Linked DNA regions of Neodiprion lecontei. The protein of the gene in region 1 interacts with the protein of each later gene in a pairwise test. Links are inferred from orthologs where the notes say so. Each region holds a gene or a part of one and is shown in the gene's direction. Other genes may lie near its edges. The genes, in order: LIM and senescent cell antigen-like-containing domain protein 1 and ras suppressor protein 1.

What was found.
Region 2: the proteins of LIM and senescent cell antigen-like-containing domain protein 1 (region 1) and ras suppressor protein 1 interact in a two-hybrid assay, tested with the Caenorhabditis elegans proteins (2 studies listed by BioGRID). The link is inferred for Neodiprion lecontei from reciprocal best matches to the Caenorhabditis elegans genes unc-97 and rsu-1.

What each region holds. Positions count from the first base shown.
Region 1 is NC_060263.1:9,168,788-9,175,377, forward strand, and holds LIM and senescent cell antigen-like-containing domain protein 1, read left to right. Parts: upstream 1-1,727; 5' UTR 1,728-2,856; coding exon 2,857-3,137; intron 3,138-3,330; coding exon 3,331-3,444; intron 3,445-3,638; coding exon 3,639-3,751; intron 3,752-3,938; coding exon 3,939-4,131; intron 4,132-4,249; coding exon 4,250-4,391; intron 4,392-4,677; coding exon 4,678-4,936; intron 4,937-5,579; coding exon 5,580-5,779; 3' UTR 5,780-5,811; downstream 5,812-6,590. UniProt on the Caenorhabditis elegans protein: Component of an integrin containing attachment complex, which is required for muscle development and maintenance. Probably function in adherens junction.
Region 2 is NC_060262.1:32,279,221-32,284,633, forward strand, and holds ras suppressor protein 1, read left to right. Parts: upstream 1-1,740; 5' UTR 1,741-1,772; coding exon 1,773-1,938; intron 1,939-2,407; coding exon 2,408-2,458; intron 2,459-2,551; coding exon 2,552-2,672; intron 2,673-3,048; coding exon 3,049-3,167; intron 3,168-3,256; coding exon 3,257-3,339; intron 3,340-3,430; coding exon 3,431-3,545; intron 3,546-3,793; coding exon 3,794-3,926; intron 3,927-4,107; coding exon 4,108-4,192; 3' UTR 4,193-4,739; downstream 4,740-5,413. Other genes in the region: uncharacterized protein LOC107224057, read left to right, coding at 5,226-5,295.

The sequences.
Region 1 (6,590 bases):
GATATTTGGAGATCAACGTCGAAATCGACCAGGATACCCTGTTTCTCATTTTCTCGTTAAATGACTCGTAGATCACAGCATTGAAGTTTACTAAAAACAGCCAGTCAGCTACGAATAGTCTTCTAAAGCAACTAAAAGGGCACAACTAGTGCGAGGGTAATGGCAGTGCCCTACACTTACCAATTCGCTTATGGGACTTACCCGAGCTCATGAACGTCCGTTAAACCGGACGTTCTTGAATTCGAGGATTACAATGTTATTTGGGTCGGTAACTGTAAGAACTTTCTGTACTTAAGTATTCCCTTAGCATCCCTCGCCTAGTTGCTTCGAGCTATGCTCCAGTTCAAAATACTCCATTCAGCTGACTGTCCTTAGCAGTCTTCAGCAACAATCTTCAGTCAACGATTACGGTGAAACAAATTGAAACATGTGACTACGTATATATTTAAAATGATTAACTATATTTCTCACCCCGTGGTGACATATATGTTATAGTTGCGGCAGCAAATTTTTACTTATTAATTTATTTGAATTTCAGGTTACAAATTAACGATATGATACAAAAATAATAATATCATTATAGTAAATAACAATATAATTTGAGAAATATTTAGAAATCACTTTGCCGAGGTTCATCGTGCTATAATTTGAATCAGAAATTATACGACAAACGGCAAAAGTCTTCGTAATCCGGATCTTTTTCCACTTAATCGTAACCTTTTCCATTTTGAGCAGCTATTACTTTGTTCAGCAGATTTGTACAGTTCATATTACTTGGTCAGATGGCGAGCGCGGGCATGTGTCGAATTTCAAAAATAGTTAAACTGCTTCCATGTGTATGTGCCGCGTGATTACATACACCTTTAAAACCAGCACTAAGCGCTAGGGGGTAAGGTTAGCTGTTCTTCGATTCGTTTCAGCATACACCGCTGCTGTACATACCTATACTATAACTGCATTATACGAAGAAAATCGGTGTCGTAAGTTGTTGGGAGTCGTGAAGTAAAGTACGAAATCACGAAATCTCGCCACCACATCCGCCCACAGATTATCCATACATACATATACATCTTTAAAAGGATAGAGTTAATTCGCCGTCGTCTCATTGGCTGAATGGGTAGAACGGAAAATAATTATTTTTACTGAATTGGGCGTGTAAGCTTCTCCAGTCTTCGCTAATGACAACGAATTAATCGTTACTATAAGTTGTCTGTTTGTATACTATCTACTAGGTAAGTAACCCAATATCTATATACCGCTTATAGGTATAACCTGTAGTGTACAAACATATTTGTAAGCCAGATATTTTTCGTGGATTACGTAGTTTCACAAATATTTCTTTGAATACGCAAATCGCGATTGTTGCTAGATGATAAGAATGGCAGTGTACGTTTATGTAAAACGACTGGGTGGGACGCGTACCGCAGTGTATAATACGTATAATGTGAGATCATGTGCGAGAAGTAAAAATCGTCTGAGCAGTTTTGTGTATCCGTGAATCCCGTTCTAATTGCAGAAACAACGAAGAGGCGAATATAACGAGTGTCAGGGTGCTGGAGCCAAATTCTCCAGTCCCACCTCAGTTTCTAATCCATATATTATCTTCTTCTTTCAAGTATCACACCAAACAAATTATGCCAGGGTAAGCAATGCTGTGTTGCCTATTTTTAGCATTGACTTCATCCAATTTCATAGACTTAACATACACTAAACCTTATCACATCCAGTTTAATTACATATATATCGCTTAAATCAATTTAAAAAATGAATTACACATCAAGTGAACACGCCTTATTCACATTTTGTAGTAACTTTTCATAAATCCCTAATAAAATTGCTTCATGACATGTTGAATCCACCCAAATGTTTCGTAACATTTTTTACTCCGATATCTCGGCATGGAATTTATGTATTATTCTGTACACTCCCATTCATTGTTGTATTAATAAAATTGTATGAACTTATTAATCTGTGCTACTTGAACATTTCAGTACACGATAGCTCCAGATATTAATTGATATATTTACATTTGCCGCGTCAGATGCAGTTCTGATTCATGTTACCAAAGTACCGATCCATTGATCCAGCTTGATCATGAATCCAAGTGGTCGTTAAAATCCGAAGTTCTCATAACAAATGAATATATGTCAATGGAATATTTAACCGTTTGTTAATCATTTCGTAACCTTGGATAGCTTACAAAGTCTCATTTACTCCAGAGAAACTTATTTCATCGAAGGTTAATGGTATTTTATATTCAGAAGTATTATTTGACATTGTTCATGTGTTTTAAACTATGCGCATTTCATCACGATTGGGTATTCATATTGTTTTTATAATAACATGTCAACTGTACAAACATATTTTAGAATTAAACAGAAACAACTTGATTTTTTAACCTTCGATACGCTTTACAATTTTACTGTTTGACGCCGAATATACTTTTCTGCTGTGTGATGTAACTCAATTCTATTGCATTACTCACATGATGATTATATTGAAGCCCGTTAGTCAGCTGTGCTTAATCAGCATTAATTATTACACCGAGTGGCAAGTAGGTGTATAACTAAAACAGATTCTATTTGAGGAATAATATTTGGCACCTGTATTAGAAAAGCTGACGATCCACTTCTTATCTACCCTGAAGTTTTATCTATTATATCAAACAGAGACGACTACGAGATAACATATCAATCCATACATACCCGAACAACTGAATCGTTCTTTGGTTAAGTAAAAAGAATGGTGTTTAATAAGGATGGAAAAGCTTGAATGCTAAATTGTGGTTTGATTAAAGTTTTTTTATTGTCAATTACGAAGTTTCGATGTGCTACATTGAATTTTTAAGACTTCAGAATGGCCCGAAACAGTGATACTCTTCCATTTCCTACGTCTATATCAATACAGTCATTAGATCACAGCAAATTATATAATAGGCGTGCACAATCCCGCGAAAATTTAGTTGAGAAAGAAATTACCAATGACTCGAACAGCAATCAATCTACTTTTGTATATGACTACGAAGAATTGGCTGAATGGAAGGGTTTTGATAAACCTCCTAAACTCCCGCCAAGGAATTTTAAAAATGCTTACTGTGACACTAATGACCTTAAAAAACAAACAACAAACAAGACAGGGTATATAGAAAAAGAATTATACTCATTAACTATTCTATTAACTGATTTTAATCGTCAACTTCATGCAATCACTGAATATTCTGTAACCAAATTCAGTGACATCATTGGTCCATTAAACTTTGATACAGAATGATGTTATATGTCCAAGACAGCAAATTTCTCTCCATCATTAATATCATTCATTTTATTACAGAGTCACAGGGATGTCTCTGGATGACATGTTCTGCTCCCGCTGTCGCGAGGGATTCGAGCCGCACGAGAAGATTGTCAATTCTCGCGGAGAATTGTGGCATCCGCAATGTTTTGTGTGAGTAACACTTTGGAATGGAATTGAAACTATAAAACCACCGGAATGTTTATCAATGGTTGAAGTTTTAGTCTCCAGCAAAGTTATGATAGAATTATTTAAATTGAGAATTTTTCCAAACGATCAATTCACATATAATGATCACAAACTATTTTGATTCTTGATATAATATATACAGATTTTCCTTTTCACAGTTGTGCACAGTGCTTTCGCCCTTTTCCCGAGGGTATTTTCTATGAGTTTGAAGGAAGAAAGTATTGCGAACATGATTTTCATGTTCTATTCGCCCCTTGCTGTGGCAAGTGTGGTAAGTTGTATACATAAGATTCATTATAAGGTTTTGTTATATGTCAGATATTTTCCGTTAGTTCGGCCACTTGTTCCTGGATCGTCAAGTCAAGAGTGATACGACTAACATTATTGAAAACAGTTCCTTGAGTTTCGTTCAGATAAACATTCAACTAGATCCATTCTAGAGGCAAATTCAATTTCAGGTGAATTTGTCATTGGAAGAGTAATCAAAGCCATGAATGCTAACTGGCATCCTGGCTGCTTCCGTTGTGAGGAGTGTAGCGGTGAACTAGCAGAGACTGGTTTCATGAAATGCCAAGGAAGAGCATTGTGTCATACCTGTAACGCTCGAATAAAAGCTGGGGCTCTTGGAAAGCATATCTGCCATCAATGCCAGTAAGTATTTATTTTTTAGAATTTTCTTGTTATTCAGATAGTTTAAAAATAACTAGAATATGTATATTGTAGTATAATTTTCTACTAATCATTGACTAAATAATATTTCTATCTATAGTGGAATAATCGACGACAAACCGCTGCGTTTCCGTGGTGAAGTATATCATCCCTACCATTTCAACTGCACGGCTTGCGGGATTGAGTTGAATGCTGATGCCAGAGAAGTTAGGTCCAGGCCTGGATTTGCGGCTAATGAGATGGTATTTTGGCATTGAATTTTTTTCTTTTCATACGTAAGCCACAGCTGAACAGCTGTGTTTCATATCGATACTCGTATGTTGTCACTACCCTATATTGACTGACAACAAAATAAAGCCCTTCAAAGTCGGCCTGGCGCATGTCTCATTTGTTTTCATATTTTTTACATCAATTATAACATTAGAGCTATCTGCTGAGATAAATGCCTACTTTTAATTTCCTGATTTAAAGATGCTACAACATTAACATACCTGCTTGATATAAATGCATACATCATGTATTTTACAGAATGAACTATATTGTCTGAGATGTCACGACAAAATGGGAATACCGATCTGCGGAGCTTGCCGGCGTCCGATAGAAGAAAGAGTTGTCACTGCCTTGGGAAAACATTGGCACGTGGAACACTTTGTTTGTGCAAAGTGCGAGAAGCCATTCTTAGGTCATCGTCACTACGAGAAAAAGGGCCTTGCTTACTGTGAGACTCATTATCACCAGCTCTTTGGAAACCTATGTTTTGTTTGCAACCAAGTAATTGCTGGAGATGGTAAGTTTTTATTGTTTTTTTACAACTTGGTAAAGATTTCGAATATCATACAGTGGTCACTTTGATTCTTTGATTACTCCTAAGTCGTTTCCTTATTTATTGACCCAATCTTTCTTTGATTGGATTACTTCAGCATGAGTGCCTATCGTTTATAACATTTAGTAGATAGCACCTTGTTCTAATTTCCAGTAAAATTTTCAACTAGTCTGCAGTGGATACTTTCCAATAATTACCAGCAATTAAATTTTTGCCAATCAAATACTAGAAAAGTATTAGACAATTGAATTTCACTTACAATTCGTTGCAAAATAGTAGAATAATTACTATCAAACTTTGTCTTCTTGCAAATTAGTGAAAGCACTTTTTCTTATTGCAAATTACGAGAGTCTAGTACTATATTATTATACCTAAATAACAAATTGAACCATAACTTTACGAGGAGTATTATTCGAATAAATGTCACAATAATTTATATTTATGTTAATCTTCTGATTAGTAAATTGCTGCAGTTTACTTTCATCATAGTTTAATAAAATTCGCAGCAACAGAATTACATTTATAATTCGACAAGCCTCATATGTTTATAATTAAAATTAAGTTGTAAGTTTTTTACAAATCATTCTTTATTCCATTTTATTTGCAGTTTTTACGGCATTAAACAAAGCATGGTGCGTACATCATTTTGCTTGCGCATTTTGTGACCAAAAGATGAACCAAAAGACAAAATTCTTCGAATTTGACTTAAAACCCGCTTGCAAGAAATGCTACGAGAAATTTCCCCAGGAATTGAAAAGGCGTATGCGTCGTATGTACGATTTAAATCCAAAAAAAATACCTGCCTAAACAAATAATAAAATACTTTTACCAGATGTGTTTAAAAAAAAGTACATGTATGTTTATATATTTATTGTGCTTAGCAATTGCCGTTTAAAATTACATTAGACAAAGATCATTCTTTGAAGAAGTAATCAAAGTAAAACGTAACATTGATTAAATTTGTCCCCAAGACTACAAAAATATTTTATATAACTGACTTTATTTTTAAGTAAATATTTATCACGTAATGGAAAAATATTACTTGGCCAACTAACGCGCATCTTCTAATTATTCGATATGTACTGTTCGCATTCTGATATTCGGATTTTTCCAAGTATACCTAGAGGATGAACAACCATTTCGATCTAATATTGAAGCATTCTCAAATGTTCGTGCCTTACACCTAGCTTAGGAATAGAAAAAGTATCGCTTATCATAATTCGCAGTAATTATCTTACATTTGACTGACGAGTTATTAATGCATCATAATATACTACACAAATAATTATACAAACAGAAATTTTACACGTATACAGTATCCACACAATATACATTATAATGCTGATCTGTGAATATTTTCATCACTTTATAGTGGGAGTCCTTAGTAAATTTTTAATGGTGCTTTTCTATAAATCAAATTGTTATGTTGCACGTTGTAACAACATATATATATGTATAAGAAAAATGAATATTACCTATTTTGTAATACACTTTCAAGTCAAGTATATTATGTAATATTACTGCTTCGGAAAACTAAACAATTTTACATTATTGTATTAACAAATTGTTTGAAAAAAAATATATATTATATGTGTAATCTCGAAAACCGACCTGTCTT
Region 2 (5,413 bases), on another chromosome or scaffold:
TCAGTCTTAAGTAAAAATTTGCAAGTTAGATACGATATATTATCATGTTATAGAAATTCATAAAATTGTATTGACATTGTGAACGGTCACGATTGGCAATGTAACACGTCGTTTGGTAATAATAACTACTGGCAACGAACTAAAAAAGTGTATCAGCTATATAAATGCTAGTTATTATGAAATCTAGATACTGAATAGGAGCTTATAGATTCCATCGCATAAATTGAGTTCTGTATATTTCTTGAGTTTCACGCATTTACTGTATCGACATACACATATTTCAAAAACGATAATTAGTCTGGTGATTCATGCAGCTCATTATTTTTGCTAATAATGATAAACTTAAATTAGGTATTAATGTGACAATTTTGAAATATCGATACCAGTGTTACTGCTAGAAAATAATAATTTATTAAATTGTAGGTAATAAATAATCATAGTTAATATCGAATGTTTGAAATGATTTTTCTCATGTGTATATTACTTCAATTTTTTCTCGTCACTTAATGCCAAGGTCGGAGTCACACTATGTGAAATATTCGTAACATAAATGCATCAAGCACAGTAAACCCTGTATTTTTTTTTACCTGTTATTTACCTTTCCTAAATTCGTCGCACCAATATATTTATTTCTGGCGTGGACTCGAAGAAATTATCCAGTTTTTCCGACAACTCCAATAATTGTAACACAACTTAAGCAACCCTTGGTTTCAAACATCTCCAGAGTTGTATAAAAGAAATGCAGGCGTTACTGTAGCAACTATAACTATTTTAATGGTTTGGGTTACTTTAAGAACGTCACGCAGAAGAATTGATAAGTTTTTTTTTTTTCTTTTTTTACAAGAAGTTACGTTTGACTTGTGAAACCAATGTTAAGCGTTGTGATATTTTACATGATTGTAATAATTAATATTACGGTGTTGTTATTGTACTGTAATATGAGTTAACTCTGGCCCAAAAATTTTTCAACAAATGTTTGTTTATTAATTTTTAGATTAATTTCTATAATTTACTGTTGTTGACACTTCATGTATCTAATTATGCGGAAGGAGAAGAACTTCCATGTGCTGATAATAAGATAACATGCTGAAAACCAGAAATCCGATTTAATTAAAAAATTTGAATGACTTTATTACTCTCTTATGGTTACCGAGTAATACGCTACGGTAAAGTACGATACTATACTTGCAGGAACACAAAAAAAATTGCCCCCATTTTTCATAATGTTATCGTATTACAATCGTCGAGGTATGAAATATATTCTTATACAAATTCACTGCAAAATGAGGGAAAAAGCTAACCGCAAATTTTACAACAGCAATCAATTAGCTGAAACAATTTCACAGAGACACTTAAATTATAACTACGCGTAGTCTGAAATATCGTGATCTAAAATGTGCAATAAAACTGTAAACAGTTAGAAAGGGTTTTAACGAGAGCTTGTACTGAAATTTGGTGGGTAAGGAAGAATATCCAAGAGGTTGACGGACAAACAGGTGCAATTTACAAAGATAAGCCCCACGCATCAATGAAACTAATATTCATTCGTCAGACGGAAAGAACATAAGTCAGCAATAATTTAGTTATTCTGATCCAAATTCGACGGGTAATTACAAACGTTGTTTCTGATGGTAACATAAATCGTACTCGTCTCTTAATTTGTTTCACGTCGTCACCGCGGTAAATTCTGTTTTATCGACTGCAGTAGCTCATGCACATGAGGCATGTGTATTAGGCATGTGTAAGTAAGTTTCTCTGATCTGAAAATACGTATGACCGTGTGTGCGCGCGCAATGAATCAGACTCCAGTATCGTGTATTCCGAATTCGAGGATGTCAAAGGCAAAGAAAGTAATCGATGAGGCCCGAGAAAACCAAAATCCTGAGCTGGATTTGGCTGATAAGGGCATTTCCACATTCGAGGAAATGCCCGGACTGCGTGAGTAAAATACGCTTGCACCCTTCACTTGATCATTGCCAAATTAGGCAACTTGTCAAGACTGGTTTTTTGCACCAACAAAACTACACACTGCCATTAGGGCTACTCATGGGCGTGGACAGCCCTGTACTATTTATACAAATACGTGCTGTTACTGTTGATCAGATTTCCTTATATTTATTTCCCAATTAAGTTCTGGATGCTCATTTAGGGAAAAAATGTAAACTTAAAAACTCATTAACCATATATCGCATATCATTCAACAACCTATGTTTATTGCGTAAAAATAGTCCTTTCAAATACAGCTGATCATAATTTTCAGATCATCTTTGTACTTGTTCAAACTATTTCTTGTTTGAACTCTTCATACAATGACTACTATATATTACAACATCGAAACCGAATTATCATTAATCTTATCGTGTCATTCTTCATAATTTTGCATGTATTTTGAATTGTATTTTTTCAGTGAATATGCTGCAGATAACCAGGCTGACGCTCAGTCACAATAAACTTCAAGGTACATATGTAGAGAAAATTCATGTATTGCCAACCTGTTCGATCCTACCGTATTATGCATGTCACAGCAAGTAATGGAATGATAATTTTTCAGTTGTTCCACCTGGTTTGGCAAATTTAATCAATTTGGAAATTTTGAACCTGTTCAATAATCACATCACTGAACTTCCAATTTCCTTATCACAAATGCCTAAGTTAAGAATCCTCAACGTTGGGTACGTAACTGCGCGGCGATAAAGACGATATTTCAAAATGTACATAGTTACATTGATAATTTTAACTAACGCTATTTTGATCTCGGTATATCCACTTCTGTTTATATTTTTTGTTTATATTGTACATGAATTCTAGTCTGTATGTTATTGAAAATAAAATCTGCAATGATTGTCTATGATGATAAGGACGATAACTTCAATGCAACATTTTTTGAACTTATAGCCTAGCTACTTATGTTGAATCAATTTCATTTTGTATCGCTGAATCAACACCAACTTGTATCTGTTACTTGATAAAAACCTTTATATTCTAAGAAAAAAACACAAACAGGTAATAGGCTTCTAATTCTAAATAGTATGTTATCCTATTTTTCAGAATGAATAGATTAGATTCCCTTCCACGAGGGTTTGGTGCCTTCCCAGTGCTCGAGGTCTTGGATCTCACATATAATAATTTGAGTGAAGAAAATTTACCTGGAAACTTTTTTATGATGGGTAATCAATTAATTTCATACATTACAATAATTAATTCATTATTGATTATATGCACAATGCATACCCTAATTCTACTTTGTTTCCTCCAGAGACCTTGAGAGCATTGTATCTTGCCGATAACGATTTTGAATACCTGCCCCCTGAGATTGGCCAGTTGAAAAATCTGCAAATTGTAATAATTCCATCATACTGTATGAAATGAGAATACTCATAAGCAACACTGATAAACTACGAAATATACTGAATAATAATTTATTTTACAGCTTGTGCTCAGGGAAAATGATCTGATTGAGCTACCTAAGGAAATTGGCGAACTTACCCGACTTCGAGAACTTCACATTCAAGGCAACCGACTAACAGTTTTACCACCAGAGATAGGTAAATTGATACTCTGTAGCTAATTGCGTACCATATCAGTATACTTGTATCGGTGAAATTCTTAACTACCTATAAATTTGAATTGCCTTACATACGCGGGTCGTCCCAAATGTATCCTATTGCTGTATAACTTGTATTGCTGAGCTCGTGAATGCTTTCTCTTTATTCATTTTTCCTAGCAGAATGTAGGTGACTAGCCCTGTGATAAGCTGTATGGTAACTTTAATAGTTTTAAACTTACTTCACAGGTAATTTAGATTTGGTGAGTAACAAAGCAGTGTTCAGAATGGAATTCAATCCTTGGGTTACCCCTATTGGAGATCAATTGCAAGTGGGAATTTCTCACGTGATTGATTATATTCGTTCGGAGACCTACAGATAGTAAGTGTAATTGGAAAATGAATAACAATTAATCAGTATACCCATCCATTATCGAATGTGTGATGGTTCTAGGCCCATTTTCAGACCTACAAGTTCCTGTAATAATAGGGAAATACGTTAAATTTTTCAAGTAAAATATCCAGCTAAACAATAGATGGTAATTATTATTTTATTTTTACAGCCTCTATAATCGTCACCTCAGTGCAAAAGGACCTCCGCCACCAATTGAGAATGATAAAAGCAAGAAAATCTCTCGTGCTCGCTAAATGAGATTAATGTGACAAAATCAACTTATATAATTACAGTTTTAATGCCAATGACTAATCGTTAATATATCTAAATTTATTAATTTGTACATTACCACAAATTGATCATCAGATATATCAGATCACGTGGTGCCTTATGCCAAGTCAACTGCCTTAAAATTCTGAATCGTTACTTGTATTAATATTTTTTTATTAATGTTATGCTTATATTTTTTATAACAAATTTAAAACTAAATTAAATATGTAGAATATTTCGGTGAGTCTATAATGTTTTAATACATTAACAAATGAAATTCACCATAGCCACGGGTATTAATTTTTTCCGTTAAGTTATTCTTGCTCATACAGGTTACAGTCGTAATTTATTTCTGTAATGTAATAATGCTAAGAAATCGAACTCTGACTGCGTTTACGATAAAAATTTTATCCAGCTTTGATGAGAATCTTAAATTGATGCGCAAAATGAATCTCCGCCAAGTTGTAACACTTCGTGCATTTTAATTACCTACTATTAATATGAAATGAATAAATATGATGGTGCAAATAATTTATTGATCTATAGTGGATATCTTTCACATTACACTTGTTGAGCCTCTAATTGGCACGCACAACAATTCACTCATCTATAAGTGTATGTCATTCTAAATTGTACTTTATGTATTAAACTACCTATTAAGAAAAAATGACTTGGAAAATTTTTATTATTTATGATTTAATGACGGGGTTTCAATAAACAATTTCACATCATAAAACGTACACGTTCAACTATTTTGCGTCAATAGCTTCAGTAGAAATGCAAAACCGTGTTTTCAGTTCGTACCGTTGACATGTTACAGTCGAGAATTGTAATATTTATGAAGCTTGTGTTAACAACTATGTTAGCAGTTTGGCTTCAATCAAGATGCAGAAAACTGCAACGAAATCATTTGTCGGTATAGAAAACAAGTACGTACAATACTTACCAGTTCTTTAGTTGAGCCATAGGTGCTGCAATGTAATTTTTGTATATGCTCAATCCTTACGTGTACGTAGAATGGCACGATTAAAACAGAAAACCCTGAAACTTGCGAGAGAGGAATATTTGAAAAATCAGTCTAAAGAAGGTAATTTGAAATTGTAAAATGTTACATATTGCCAATCTATATTTGACGAATCAGATTGTAGACGATTGTCAATAGAAATATATATAATTTTTTGAACTTGTTAATAATGTTTTTTTCA